Coturnix japonica: one gene and its partners. The protein of the gene in region 2 interacts with the protein of the main gene of each other region in a biochemical or structural test. Links are inferred from orthologs where the notes say so. Each region holds a gene or a part of one and is shown on either strand. Other genes may lie near its edges.

Region 1 (3,500 bases), on a different chromosome or scaffold from region 2:
CATCTTGGCCCTCACAACGCAGTCTATGTTGCAAAAAGAATGGACTCAACAGCTTATTTCTACCAAAGTTACAGGAGAGAGATTCTGTAGTCAGAAACATGATGTCACTGAAAACTAATGCCAAAAACTTTACTTCTTTAAAGCAGAGGTGACTGCAATAAAATAAGGACAAACATAACCTAGCCAGCATTTCTGACAGTAGAACAATGTCATGGGCAAAAGCTGGAGCTGTGACCAACACATAGAGGCATGGTAATCCCCTCAACTCCCCTTAAAATACATTAAAATACATTTCTCACAGGATGCAATCCATTAGTGTGACAATATATATTCATATATATAAAAATCAATATTTATCTATTGAAATTTATCTATAGATCAATATTTATCTATCTATATAGATCAATATTTAACACACATCATGCTGGGATTCCTATCTTCTGGCAAGTAGGCAGCCTAAAAGTCATTATGTGTAAAATGGGTATTGTCATCTTCTATATCTGTATGTGAAATGCTGCATTGCAGCTTGTTGAGAGCTATTAATATAGCCTGTCAGTTTGGGACATAAAACAGCTGCTTTCAGAAACAAAGGCAGAAATGTGAGACAGGATCAGGAAGTGAATAAAGAGTAATTTTCACTGCATCAAGCAAATCTAATCTCATTAAAAAGCACTTTCTCTTCTCATAATTCATCACACAGAATGGTAAAGTAAACATGATTTTCCCCTGGTGGAGAACATTTTAGGCTCTTTTTAAAATACAATGCAATCCAGCCCAAGAATTTATATTTCCAGTATATTTCCACACGTTTCCATGTCTTTTGCAAGACAGTATGTTTACTATGTTGAAAGATACATACTCATACAAGTACTTATTTATATGGGCTGCATATTTATTTCTGAAGAGAAAAAGAGTTGCGATGTACTGGGATTGTGAGATCCTCTTCTGGTACTGAGTACATCTGTGCTGCACTGCCAAACCAGGAGGAAAGACCTGAAGTCAGTTTGGCTCCATCTTGGCAAAGTATAAGCAAGTTTCTCTATAAGACGTGTCAGAATAATTTAATTTCCATTACTCCACCTAGATCTGTAACTCATAATGGGAATATTACAAAACAAACAGAATAGATGCTGTAAATGACAATTAACAGGCACTATAATTTGAAGCTTAGAGAAAGGTAAATTTATTCATTCAGAACAATTCACTACTAGATTTCTTTCTTTACTACTGTTTTGGAAGAAGTCAGGGGAACTTCCCACCAAGCAAGCTGCAGCTTAAACTTCTAAGTAGCAAAGAAAAGCCTTCAGTTTTCCTTTGATAGATGCAAGAATGCAGCTCAGATATATAAGAGTGATTGAGAAGTGGGGAAGGAGTGTGGGGAAGGGAATATGTGCGTGGAGGCAGCACAGCTTTAGACACAAACATTAATAGGGTGTAGACAGAAACTGCACATAAGGAAACTGAGTGCAGGTGTACTTACATGTACATGTCTGGCAGACATACTCAGAATTATTTAGCTGTGTTGCCAGTGAATGTGCTTGTCATTTATAATCAACGTGGTTCTTGTGGGCAAGTGTAAGTAAACAAACCAGTCAGTCCTGCTGACTGCTGAAGAAAATGTTTCATCAGATAAGATCAGGTAACTCAGTATTTCCAAGCACAGCCCAGCTGCCAATTATCTTACCTAGAATCACAGTTTATAAATAGATAGTAACAATGGTACACTTAAATTGCCATTTTGAGTGGCATTTTTTTAACCTGTCTATTTCTACTGCATCTAATTGAACGGTTATACATTTTTAGTAAATGCACCGCTGCAATCAATACAGTTTTCCCTTAAAAATATTTCTCTGCTACTCTGAAGTACACTCCTTTATCCCAAAAGCTTTAAAGCTCCCTGACACATGGTAATACTACTGAAGCACTACAACTCAGGTTTCCATCTTCGCATTTGCTTAAGAAGATACTCTGTGATAGAATTTTTCTAGCAAACAAGCCTGTACAGACCAGAGAAATCTGGACTTTTTTCAAAAGTAAAAATGACCTCTAAGGTATTTAAAGGATCATGTTAAAAAAAGATTTTGCTATTAAAATAGAATCTCATGTGTAGAGTGTCCTAGATAACTGTCTAAGATACTACTGAGCATTTCACAGTGTCCTCATTCAGCCGAACTTGTGACACTGCACAAAGAGTAAATTGTTGGCCACTGAATTGTAATGACTTTCACTTTTCTGGTCTGCTTTGGGAATGTATTCTTGGTTACAAAATCTAGTTCAGTGATGCTTTGCACATCCGAGAATTGAAGAAGGCAGTTAGCGTAGCTGAGAGCAGTTTAGGATTATGAAAGTATTCATCTTTGCTAGAGACCCCTTCAGAGTGCCTTTTGATTCAAGCAATATTCAAAATACAAAGTTGATGTTCTCAAACCATGCTGAAGGTGTCACAGTGATAACGTCTGGAAGAGAGATTGAACATCTGGAGGAATACAGACTTACTTCATTGGAAGTGAAAGCTAAACTGTCAGCATGATGAAGCATGCTCAAAATTACATCTATGCAATTGTATGTACAACAAAGAGCTATAAACAGAGCCTACAATACTGTACAATACTTTCAGGCAAAGCTGCTCGTACAGCATTGTTACTTATATAATATATATATACACACTATATATATATATATTGTATATTTTTATGTATATATTTAAATATATATATTCATAAAGGCAATTTTTGCACCACCCTGGAAAACAACAGGCACTGACTTTAATGATTTAATGTGCTACATGAAACATTGCAACAACCTAACTCTGTTTCCCAGTCAGCTTTTAGTCTCTCTTTACCTCTGAGCAGTACTGCAGGTTTTGCACAACATGCTTCTTCTGGTGGAAGCACACACACAGCACAATGCTGCTGTGCGGTCATATACTCTAGTCTCATTCTGAATGAGATGTTAGCAAGTATTCAAGCAATCAATACACACAATTTGAGGACTTCCCAAGTGAAGTAAATATCTTTAAGCACAGCAGTGTAATTTGCAGAGACTCTAAAACCCCCCTTACCTCTTTCTTTACCTCTTCTTCATCTTCCAGAGTCAGTGCTGCCAATTGCTTAGCTCTCTGCTCCATCAAGTTTACATATCTAATTGGATTGGATAAGGCCTCGATCACATCTAGAAATAATACAAATACATCAGTTCCAAACCTCTTATATGCTCCTCAGGCTTTAAGATGCTGTACCTTTCCTACAGATCTGCCACTGAGAGATAATCTTAAGTCATAGAAACAGCAGTGAATGACAGTATACCATCACATGCAAGTACTCTAATGTACTCTTTCAGATTTCCTGTTTGGGTTATGTGGATGTTTATTTTTCTGAACACAGCATTTTATGATGGCCTTACACCCAACTTGGATTTTACTTCTCATGAGGCACAGAAAGGAACAGTACAAAAAAACCTGTCATTTTAGAAATAAAAACAACAGAAGTACTATACAGGAT
Region 2 (4,028 bases):
CTCCTCAAAATTATTATATATATATATTATCTTATATAATATATAAAAATGTATTATATAATTATTATTTTATTATAAAATAAAATTATTATTATTTTATTATATATTATAAATTGACGCTTGAACCTCTACCCAATGCCACGACTTCAACAGTGGTTCACCACTATCTACATTTCACGAGATGAGATCATTAAGTGTTAATCCACACAGCTGCACAGGCATACACACTTTCAGCCCAGCACAACAGCGTGACACAGAAAAACCATAAATGTGCACACAGTAACAATGTCTGCTCCAGTTTTGTTACCCAAAGACAGCCAGCCATGCTGCCCAGAGGGGCACTGAACCCACACATCCTGGTCTCTAGCACCTCTTGCTTACATCTCCCCTGGCACATCAGAACACCAGAAGAGGTGGCTTACACCACCTCCTCTACAAAGAAAGGCTGAGGGAGCTGGGCATGTTCAGCCTGGAGAAAGCTTCAGGAAGACATCACTGCAGCCATCCAGCACTTGAAGGGAGCTTATAAACAGGAGGGAGGCCAGTTCTTTACACAGGCAGATAAGAACAGGACAGAAAGGAATGGCATTAAACTAAAAAAGGGAAGATTTAGTTTAGAGATGGCAAGGCACTAGCAGAGGCTGCTCAGAGCAGCTGTGGATGCCCCATCCCTGAAGGCGTTCAAGGCCCAGCTGGATGGGGCCCTGGACAGCCTGAGTTGGTGGATGGCAGCCCTGCACACAGCAGAATTGGAATTTTATGGTCCCTTCCAACCTCAGCCATTCTGTGGCTCTACAATACAACAACATCAGCAGAAAGCTTTCCTGCAAGCAGCCCAGCAAGACACACCAGCAGCCGCCCAGAGAGCTCCTTGTCTGCCCTTGGTCTGCATACAGCCAGTGGCACTGGGTAGGTGGGCTCTCTGGGCAGTTTATTGGTGTCAATACATATTTTGCAGTTTTGAAAGCTTGGGAGAAAACTCTGACTTCACTGCAACAAAAAACATGGAAACACTTAAAAAGTTTGGACCTGAGTTAACATGCCTGGTATGCCAGCTGTCTCCGCTGAAGTGAGCGTGCATCATTCTCTAACTGTACTTAAGCTCGCATTTGTCCAACCGTATGGATGGTATCTACTCTAGTTCATCTTTATTGTGAACTCCCAAACAGCCACAACAGTCACCAGGCAGAACCAGGCCAGAAACAAGACAGAACGCCATTACTGCAAGCGCCACCTCCACCAATGTCCCTATCAGTTGAGGAGCCCCAAGCCTTCCTCCATGTCAGAGGACACAGTGAATCCCACAGAGCAACAAACAGCACTTGCACGGGGAAGCACTGCCTAACCTCTCTGTCCTGTTCCCTGCCCCACATACAGGCCATGAGAGCAGCCCTCCCTTAAAACTCAGAGGCACTGGGGAGGGCACATGGCAGCCACTGCAAGTCACGGGCAGCAACTGCACAGCCACAGTACAGGACGTGGATAAACACATTAATTTAAAAGGCTCATTTTAACAGGAGCCAAATTCCTACTAGATAAGTATCGCTGCTGCATACTTGGAGCTCCAAAACAACCGCCTCCGTTCTAATGAGAGACATACAATGCCGAGGATTTTCTTTCCTGATGGGTGGGTGGGCTCCGAAAGTACTACAGGATCCTGTCATCCTCGGCACGCCTCAGGTTGCTATCAGCTCCCTGCCCGCACGCTGGCCTTCGTCGTTTCTCTTCCGTTCGTAACGTCGCTCTACAAGCCCAGCACAGCCCCTTATCCCAGTTTACCTCATTAAATAAAAATCACAACAAATAAAAATGCGCCAAGCAAGCTAACAGCCGCGGAACAGGGCAGGGCAGTTTCCCCCGAGCCCCCATCACCCCGACGCTCGCCCCTCCCGTCCCTCGCTCTCAGCTCCATGTTGGAGGCCGCTTCCCTCCCGCACCGAGCCTACCACGGCGGGCACCCACGCCCCGCGGCGGCGGGGGCAGGGCCGGCGGCTCTCTGACGGCCGCGGCCGACAAGCCGAGAGCCCGGGCGAGCCGGGCCGGCCCCGCCGCTGCCTCAGGCCCGACCGCAGGGACCCTGGCGCGCTCCCCGGAGGCAGACGGGAACGGCCCGCACCGTGCCGCGCCGAGCCGCGCGGGGCCGGGCCGGGCCTGCCGGCGCCGAGCCGCACTCACCCAGCAGCAGCAGCTTCAGCTCCCGGCGCGCGTCCCGCTTGTCGCGGCGCAGCTGCCGCTCGATCTCGTCGTTGATCCGCCGGGCTTCCTTGGCTTCCTCGCTCAGGCAGCACGCCATGATGGACTCCAGAGTCATTCTTCCTAACTGGTTCAAACACAGCCCCCACCCCCCTAAAATCGCACGCACTCACTCTCTCGCACACCCGCACCGGCCGGAGCCCGCACCGCGCACCGCAGGGCAGGCGCGGGGACCGCCTCGATGCCGCACGCGGGCGAAGAAAGAGGCAGGGCGGCTCGGATCCCCACCGCTCCCAACCCCTCCTCTCCTCTCAATCATGCACCGCACAGCGCGGACGCCTCCACCGCGGCGGCAGCGGCGCTCCCCGGCCGAACCCCGAACTCCCCGGCGGCGGCCGCCGCCCCCGCCGCCCGCAGCGCGCACCCCGCCCGCTGTCGAGCGCTAGAGCCCGCCGAACCTACGCGCGGGCATCGCCCGGCCGCTGCCCTCGCCCTGGAGTCGGAGCCCAGCGACCTCGGCTGCGCCCGGCGAGGGAGCTTCCTCGCCCGCCCCTCTGGCGGGGACAGCCGCTGCCGTTGAGCTACCGCGGCACGGCTCGACCCTGACAGGGAAGACGGGAGAGGGGGCGGGCGGACAGAACCCGGCGGAGAGGAAGAGGAGGCAGCGGGGGCCGGGCTCGCCCGGCTTTTCAATGGCTCGGCTACGCGGGCGTGGTGAGACAGGAATATGGCGGAGCGCCGCTCCCGCGCTCCCCCTCCCGCTGCCCCACGTCGGGGGCGAGTGGCCGGGAGTGCCCGGCAGCCCGGTCGTTGCCCGTTGCCCCCCCGAGCGCCCCCGCGGCATTGGCGGTGGCGGAGGTGGAGGAGGAGAGGGTAAAGAGAAAGGGGCTAGAGGAAGGCGACTGTTGTCGCCCAGCGGCCGCAGGGATAGGCGGCCCCTCCGGCCCTTTCTGCGGGGATGCGCGGTTCCTCCCGGTGCTGCCGCGCGGGGCCCCGCCGCCCTTGTGCTGGGCGCCCACGAACATTTCCACCGCGCTTCTCCATCCTCCTCCGCGGCTGCGGCTCGCGGGAGAGGGGAAACGCATGAATTCCTGGGAAGGAAAAAGGAGGGGGGAAGACACCTCTCCACCTTCACAAGGAAACGCGAAGGTGCGGGTGGATGCCGTGCTGCGGCAAGGAGAGCCGCACAACGACGGCACCGCGCACCGCCCGTCCAGCCCGGGGACGTCCGCACCAGAACCCCACTATCGGCCCTCGGCCCCCCTCGGCGCGACGCACCGCGCGCTGTCCGCCGCAGCGCCGTGCCTGCTCCGAGCCGGCTGTACGGCCTTCCCCACCCTCCCCGCGCCGTGCCCTTTGCACCCCAACCCCGGCGACCGCGGCCGTGGGTCCGCGGGTGCGTACCGAACACTTCGCGCACGGACTGGCAGTGCAGGCGTAGAGCGGGACGCTGTGGGGGCTGAAACGGAGAGCGCAATCAGCCCCGTCGTGCAGTCAATTAATTTTGTGGGCACAAAACGTTGTTGTCGTTGCTTTAGAAAATGAACGTTCCCTACCTAGCTCCAGGTAGGGTTTTGTGTCCGATGTATAAGAACGGTCAGTGCAAGTCAGAAAGGTTTTATAATTGCATTTCTTTATCCCTCCAAATCAATATGTCTCGGTTATTAATCAGAAATGATACTTCAGTAGAGAAACATCATTTCTATTATAAAACCTTTGTGTACGTAAGTATAGCAATGTATTTGTCAGTCTATCCGGTGTCTCCAGGTTAATGCCTCAATATTAAATTGAGCGAAGGTTTTTAGAAATTGAATTTTAGATAGGACTCACATTGA
Region 3 (3,498 bases), on a different chromosome or scaffold from region 2:
TGTGAGCGAGCTGCAGGATTTGACCAAAGCTGTCTATTAACAAACCCTTTAAGCTGGAATAATCTGGCACTCAGTGGAAAGAAATACCCCTGTCCATTTCCACTCGTGGCATTTCTCTTGTGCTGGGGCAGGCCTTTGCACGGCTGCACTGCAGATATGCTTGGTAGGATCTGCTTTAGGAAAGAACATTTTTCTTCTATCTCTGTTATTCTCCATCTGGACCAGTTTTGTGGTGGGTCGTGTGTGGAAGCAGGGGATTAATGGTGGAGTGACGTGTTGCTATGTGTAGTTACAACCTAGCTGCACTGGGTTGTGTGAGGCTTTACCTTTCGCTCTTGTACTTTTCCATGTTTGCTATCATGTATGTTATTGTTATCCACAAGGGTTATATCTTCAGCTGTGGTAAATCAGTGTTACTGGAGCTGTCAGTCTGTACCTATGAAGGGGTAGTAGGTCTCCAGACAGCACTGAAATTTATGGGAGGTCCTTTTTATTTGAATCTTCTGAGGTCTTTTCCCCTCCTTTCTTACCACATCACACACAATTCTGAACCCATTAAGTTCTTTTTCCCCTCCCACAGCAGTTCTCTGGTGTCAGCCTCAGCAGCCTGTTTGGAGCACCCAAAGCAGAAGCTTCTCTAGTCTTAATGCTCTGGGTGAGGCTGAACCACTGCTGTTGAACTGAGTGCTGCTTCTCAGTGAAGATATAAGGGACTTTTTTGCACTGTTCTCTTAGCTTATTGCAGCTGTCAGGTAATCCATATTAGCCAAAACCATCCTAACCATGGGTGAAGCTAAAATAAGCAGTAGTTCACTCACTCAGCAGCAGCTGCCTGTTCCTATTCTTCACTTAATTCTGACAGCACTCCCCAGCCATTCTTTGTCTCTTGCTGGTTGTCCTTGCTTGACTTGGGTCAGCATCAGGTGCCAGAAGCAAACGCTTTGAGAGCTGCCTGTTAGAAGGCCTGTATCTAGATGATGCTTTGTATCTAGGTGATGCTCCTAGGTGTTACAGCATGCTACCTTGCGTTGGGGCTGCACTGTGAAGTGTCAGCATGTGTGGCATTCTTTGTTTCTAACCACGCAGAAAATGGCCCAGTTGCTGATCAAGTTTCTGGAGAGAGAGCTCCAGCCATCCTGCCAGGTCACGTGCTTGGAAAGCATCCGCATCCTGTCACGGGACAAATACTGCCTTGAGCCTTTCAGCACCGAGGAAGGGCTGAAGACCCTATCCAGGCATGCTGGCATTGATTACTCAGAGGAGCTCATCCGAGAGGTCCCGGACTTGGAGGTCATCCTGGAATCCCTCAAATGCCTCTGCAACATTGTCTTCAGCAGTCCGAGAGCACAGGAGCTGACAGCTGAAGCCCGGCTGGCAGTGGGCCTGACAAAGCGCATCAAACTCTACAACGAGAGGAGCCTTCCTCATGAAGTCAAGTTCTTTGACCTGCGTCTTCTCTTCCTGCTGACAGCACTGAGAGTGGATATCCGGCAGCAGTTAGCCCAGGAGCTCCGGGGCATCAGCCTGATGACAGACACCCTGGAGCTGACTCTTGGTGTCAAGTGGATGGACCCCTATGAGGTTGCCACTGAGGAAGGATTGCTTCCACCTTTGCCTCGGCAAGAGACAGAGCGAGCCATGGAGATCCTGAAAGTGCTCTTCAATATTACTTTTGATTCCAGCAAGAGGGAGGTGGATGAGGTAAGCTCCTCGAGTGTTGCACCACACTACATTTGCTTGTCTACTCTTATGTTGTGTTAGATACTAGCCCCCTTGCAGCCTCTGCTTGCATGTAAGGGTAGCAAGAGACTTGTGTGTGTGGACCTTGTTCTGCAGGGCACTGCCTCTGATGCATTAAGACTTTACAGCATTAAGACCTGTAAGTTGGGCATTTTTCCTTCTTAATGATATTGACTTGTGCAAGTGGGAAAGCAGAACCCCCCCATGTACACATAACTCACTTGTGTGTGTCCTGCTGCCTTTCACCTCTGGACAAAGTCAGAAGGAGGTCTGATATCATGTCTATTTTATCCCTGTGCCCACTCCTGGGCCTCTTCCAGCCCCTGACTTGGTGCTGTAGGGCAATGGGGAAGATATCTGGCAGCAGATGGAGAATCTGGAGGATAGTTGCACATATACACCCTGCTGTCAGTGAGCAAGTTGTTGGAGGGGAGGGATGGGGCTGTGGGTTGTAGAGACAACAGGCTTTGGTTTGTGGAGACCCTTTTCTGATCAAGGTTTCCATTTTCTATTTTGGAACCAGGAAGATGCTGCTTTGTACCGGCACTTGGGTGCACTCCTGCGCCACTGCCTCATGATCTGTGCTGACGGAGAGGACCGGACGGAGGAGTTCCACAGGTCTGTTAGATAACTACATAATGGCCTTCACTGGACACAGACTTGAGGTCTCCCCAACACTGGCCCTGCCTGACAACAGCCATCAGAGTATGAATGAGTGATGCAGCAGGAGACTCTAGAGACCTACTTGGTCCTACTTGGCCTCTGTGTCAAGGTCCATTGTTTTTCTGTTGTCACTGAAGAATTTTTGGACTTCCAGCAAGTTATTCAACTATGAGGGTTGGGGAAGGAAAGCAGTTACACTTGCTCAATTCTAGTGGTATAGGTAGCTTGGGATCCAACCCAAAGAGAGTTTGGGTCTGTTTTCAGAGTCCTCTTGATCCTGGAAGCTAATAATGAACCTTGATTCCTGTATAGTTGATGAGTTTCTGTGAACAAAGATCCTTGACTATGTATTCACCTCTGTTCTTTCTTAAGCCACACAGTTAATCTTTTGGGCAACCTGCCTCTGAAATGTCTGGATGTTCTCCTGACTCCAAAAGTCCGTCCAGGATCACTTGAGTACATGGGTGTCAACATGGATGCAGTTAATATCCTGTTGGATTTCTTAGAACGGCGCCTTGACAGGGTAAGCTGAGAGGCTGCTGTACAGAGCTTTTCACTGCTGGTTTACACAAGCTCACTGCAGGGCACAAGGAAGCTTGCATTCAGCCTGAATTCAGTATAGAAGTGGCAGTTCTAGTTGGTTGGACTAGAACATTTGTGAACTGGGAGGGTTGCTGTGGCACTGTTGCTTTGGCAGGTAGTGAGACTGACAGAGCCAGCAGATGGTTAGCTGTGTGATTCAAATACAGGTGCTCTGTTTCACTCAAGTCAATTATGATTTGTTGGGCAGCTGAATTGGTTTGATACAGCCAAATCTCTTGACTGGTGGCTTGTTATGATGCTGTCCCCACAGTCTGCTGTCAGAAGACTGGCAGTCATAATGTTATTTGTCAAGACCATTCATCTTTCTTTCCTCCTCCTAAGCGCTTGTCCTCCTCTGTTCCATTGCTTTTGGCAGCCTGATTTTGCACTGTTGTTAAGCTAGTGGCCATTTTCATTCTCTGGAGTTATTCCAGAGGGTCTCCAAATTTGACTGCTGCACTTCTCTGCTCTAGATGTTCTGTGTGAGTAGAAACGCTGAAGAGAGGGACACAG
Region 4 (3,332 bases), on a different chromosome or scaffold from region 2:
GCACAGCTGCTTCGTGGTGTACCGTGACCTTAAGGTGACCGCCCCCATGAGCACCCACCCACTGTGTGGAAATCTGGGGGCCCTACAGACCTCCAGGTCCTATGGGCACCCTACACCCAGCAGGAAGCCCCTAGGCACTGTGGGCATCTCTGGGACCCTGCAGTCATCCCTGCACCCCATATTGCACCCATCCTAACGTGCACAGGCACCCTCAGCCCAGCTGCCACCCATGGCCGTGGGCTGGGCTGTGGCTCAGGGGTGGCTCCATGTCCCAGCAGCCAGCAAACATCCTCCTGGATGAGTTCGGTCATGTCCGCATCTCAGACCTCGGACTGGCCTGTGACTTCTCCAAGAAGAAACCCCATGCCAGCGTGTGAGTGTGCCCGCCCATCTCGGCACTCCCCTGTGATTGCTGGGCACGGCCCTGACCTCGCTCTGTGCCCCCAGGGGTACCCATGGCTACATGGCTCCGGAGGTGCTGCAGAAGGGAACGGCGTATGACAGCAGTGCCGACTGGTTCTCGCTGGGCTGCATGCTCTTCAAGCTGCTCCGCGGGTGAGTGTAGGCACGGAGGGTGCTGGGGAGGCTGTGCAGCAGGGGCATGGCTGAGCCCCACTCTGTGTGACTGCAGGCACAGCCCTTTCCGGCAGCACAAGACAAAGGACAAGCACGAGATCGATCGCATGACCCTCACCATGGTGAGCTGGGGGTCCTTGGACTGTGCTGCAGCACTCACGTGTCTGTGTGGCTGTGAGCATCCAAACCTTTCCCTGCAGGCTGTGGAGCTGCCCGAATCCTTCTCCCCTGAGCTGCGCTCGCTGCTTGAGGGGCTGCTTCAGCGCGACGTCAACCAGCGGCTGGGCTGCATGGGGCGTGGGTGAGTCCCAGATATGGGGGTGGGGCCACGGGTGGCACCGCTGTGGGCAGCAGTGCCACAGTCACCCTGCATTGTCCTACAGCGCTCAGGAGGTGAAGGAGGAGCCCTTCTTCAAAGGCCTGGACTGGCAGATGGTGTTCCTGCAGAAGGTGAGAGGGGTGCAGGGCAGAGCCTGTGCAGGCAGGCACCCCCTGACTGCCTCCCTCCTGCCCACAGTACACCCCACCTCTCATCCCGCCCCGAGGTGAGGTGAATGCAGCTGACGCCTTTGACATCGGCTCCTTTGATGAGGAGGACACGAAGGGCATCAAGGTAGCAGGCTGGGGGCTGGCACCGGGCAGTGGCTTGGCATGGGGCAGGCCTTGATCCCACCTCCCCACCAGTTGCTGGAGAGTGACCAGGAGCTGTACCGCAACTTCCCACTCACTATCTCGGAGCGCTGGCAGCAGGAGGTGACTGAGACCGTCTTTGACACCGTCAATGCAGACACAGACAAGCAGGAGGCGCGCAAGAAAGCCAAGAACAAGCAGCTGGGCCACGAGGAGGGTGAGTGGGGCCAGGTGTCCCCTGCCCCATCCCTGGTGTCGGCCGGCACCGCACAGCGGTGGCAGTGCCTGGCACTGAACCTTTCTCCTGTGTTGCGGGGGCCACAGACTACGCCATGGGCAAGGACTGCATCGTACATGGGTACATGTCCAAGCTGGGCAACCCCTTTCTGACCCAGTGGCAGCGCCGCTACTTCTACCTCTTCCCCAACCGGCTGGAGTGGCGTGGGGAAGGCGAGTCACCGGTAAGGCGGGCAAGGGGGGGATGTGGGGTTCATCTATTGAGGCTTGGGCTGAGCCCATCCTCTCAGCAGTCCCTGCTCACCATGGAGGAGATTGACTCAGTGGAGGAGACTCAGGTGAAGGAGCGCAAGTGCATCCTGCTCCGCATCCGTGGCGGCAAGCAGTTCGTGCTGCAGTGTGATGTGAGTGTGCCACGGGCCCTTGGGGGGCCACACTAATCCACTGTATGGCAGGATGGTGAGTCGGGGGAGCTCTGCTCTGAGCCATGTGCTTCCCCACAGAGCGACCCCGAGCTGGTGCAGTGGCAGAAGGAGCTGCGGGATGCCCAGCGCCAGGCCCAGCAGCTGCTGCAGCGGGTGCCACGCATGCAGAACAAGCCACGCTCACCTGTGGTGGAGCTCAGCAAAGTGCCCTTCCTGCAGCGCTCTGCCAATGGGCTCTGACCCCCTGCCCTGCCTCCCCCCGCCCTTCCCACCCTACCATTAATTTATTGGGTTGGGTTCCACGTACCCCCACTCCTTGGTGTCCTTGAGCAGAGCTCCAGGAGGACGCCTGGTGCCAGTGCCAGCCCCCTGCCCATGGAAGGGCACATCCATGGCATCACCGTCTGGAGCGGAGCTGGTGCTGAACGTGCAGCACCACTCCCTGCTCCCGCTCCGGCTCAGATGAAGGCAGTCCCGTGTCCCCACCTGCTGTCCTGCCCCCAGACCACCGCCCCCCTTCACCACCCACGTGTGCCAAACGGGGCAGCAGCGGCTCCCTGTGCCGCACGTGCCCCAGCCCGGCTGTGCCCGTCTGTGGGTGCCAAGTCCCCTGTGTGAATAACAGTGTGTGTGTGTGTGTGTGTGTGTGTGTGTGTGTGTGCGCGCCCGGGGGGCCCCCCTGTAAATACTGTGCCATGGGCCCCCTGCCCCCTGAGCCAGCGGGTGATGCGGGAAGAGGCAGCTGGGGAGGAGAAGTGGGGACGACCCCCGACTCCGCCTGCTGTGCCCGCTGGCATCTGTAAATAGTAGCGTGGGGAGGAGCGGCGGGCAGAGCACGGTGCGAGTGAGGGATGGATGAGCGGAAACGTGAGAATGCCTAAAAAAAACACACACACACAAAAAAAAGAAGGGAAACAAACAAACAAAAAAGCAGTTTTTTTTATAATAAAAATGTGGAAAACCACAGTCAGGCTCCGGAGTCTGCGGGGCGGCACCGGGACGAGGAGAGTGGGGAGGACATGGCGAGCGCCCGGTGCCGTGGGGGCGCTGGGGGGTTACCCGGTGCCGGCCCCGCCCCGCGCCGCCGCGCTGCGCTGCGCTGCGCTGCACCGCGCCACCGCCACCCCCGCGCGCAGCCATTGCGGGCAGGCGCGGAGCTGCTGCTGGGCCCCCGTGCGCTGTACGGCCCGGACCGGCCCGGCCCGGATCCCGGGGACATGGTGCGGGAATGGCCCGCGCCGCAGACACCTTCCCGCTGCACCGCCTCGTGTGGCACAACCGGCACCAGGCGCTGGACAGTGCGCTGCGCTCCGGCACGGTGCGCGCCGGGTGCGGGGGGGGGCGCGGGCACGGCACCGGGCATGGCACGGCGGGGGATGCGGGGCAGCGGCGGTACGGGGACACGGAGGAACCGGGGAGGTGCTGGGGAGATGGGGGGACGTGGGGTCTTGGGAGCGCTGGGTG

The links.
Region 1: the proteins of guanine nucleotide-binding protein G(q) subunit alpha (region 2) and PLCB1 form a complex in vitro, tested with the Homo sapiens proteins (2 studies listed by BioGRID, with this or other methods). The link is inferred for Coturnix japonica from reciprocal best matches to the Homo sapiens genes GNAQ and PLCB1.
Region 3: the proteins of guanine nucleotide-binding protein G(q) subunit alpha (region 2) and RIC8A form a complex in vitro, tested with the Homo sapiens proteins (2 studies listed by BioGRID). The link is inferred for Coturnix japonica from reciprocal best matches to the Homo sapiens genes GNAQ and RIC8A.
Region 4: the proteins of guanine nucleotide-binding protein G(q) subunit alpha (region 2) and GRK2 form a complex in vitro, tested with the Homo sapiens proteins (3 studies listed by BioGRID). The link is inferred for Coturnix japonica from reciprocal best matches to the Homo sapiens genes GNAQ and GRK2.

Annotation. Positions count from the first base shown.
Region 1 is NC_029518.1:12,402,393-12,405,892, forward strand, and holds part of PLCB1 (1-phosphatidylinositol 4,5-bisphosphate phosphodiesterase beta-1), read right to left. Parts: intron 3,172-3,500; coding exon 3,062-3,171; intron 1-3,061.
Region 2 is NC_029547.1:34,140,840-34,144,867, forward strand, and holds the start of guanine nucleotide-binding protein G(q) subunit alpha, read right to left. Parts: upstream 2,801-4,028; 5' UTR 2,656-2,800; intron 2,321-2,655; 5' UTR 2,312-2,320; coding exon 2,176-2,311; intron 1-2,175.
Region 3 is NC_029520.1:1,396,882-1,400,379, reverse strand, and holds part of RIC8A (synembryn-A), read left to right. Parts: intron 1-1,086; coding exon 1,087-1,701; intron 1,702-2,263; coding exon 2,264-2,358; intron 2,359-2,775; coding exon 2,776-2,926; intron 2,927-3,498.
Region 4 is NC_029520.1:143,770-147,101, forward strand, and holds the end of GRK2 (beta-adrenergic receptor kinase 1), read left to right. Parts: coding exon 1-34; intron 35-275; coding exon 276-373; intron 374-447; coding exon 448-555; intron 556-631; coding exon 632-698; intron 699-776; coding exon 777-877; intron 878-959; coding exon 960-1,026; intron 1,027-1,093; coding exon 1,094-1,189; intron 1,190-1,260; coding exon 1,261-1,423; intron 1,424-1,530; coding exon 1,531-1,667; intron 1,668-1,733; coding exon 1,734-1,847; intron 1,848-1,946; coding exon 1,947-2,108; 3' UTR 2,109-2,723; downstream 2,724-3,332. Other genes in the region: ANKRD13D (ankyrin repeat domain-containing protein 13D), read left to right, coding at 2,724-3,197. UniProt on the Homo sapiens protein: Specifically phosphorylates the agonist-occupied form of the beta-adrenergic and closely related receptors, probably inducing a desensitization of them. Key regulator of LPAR1 signaling.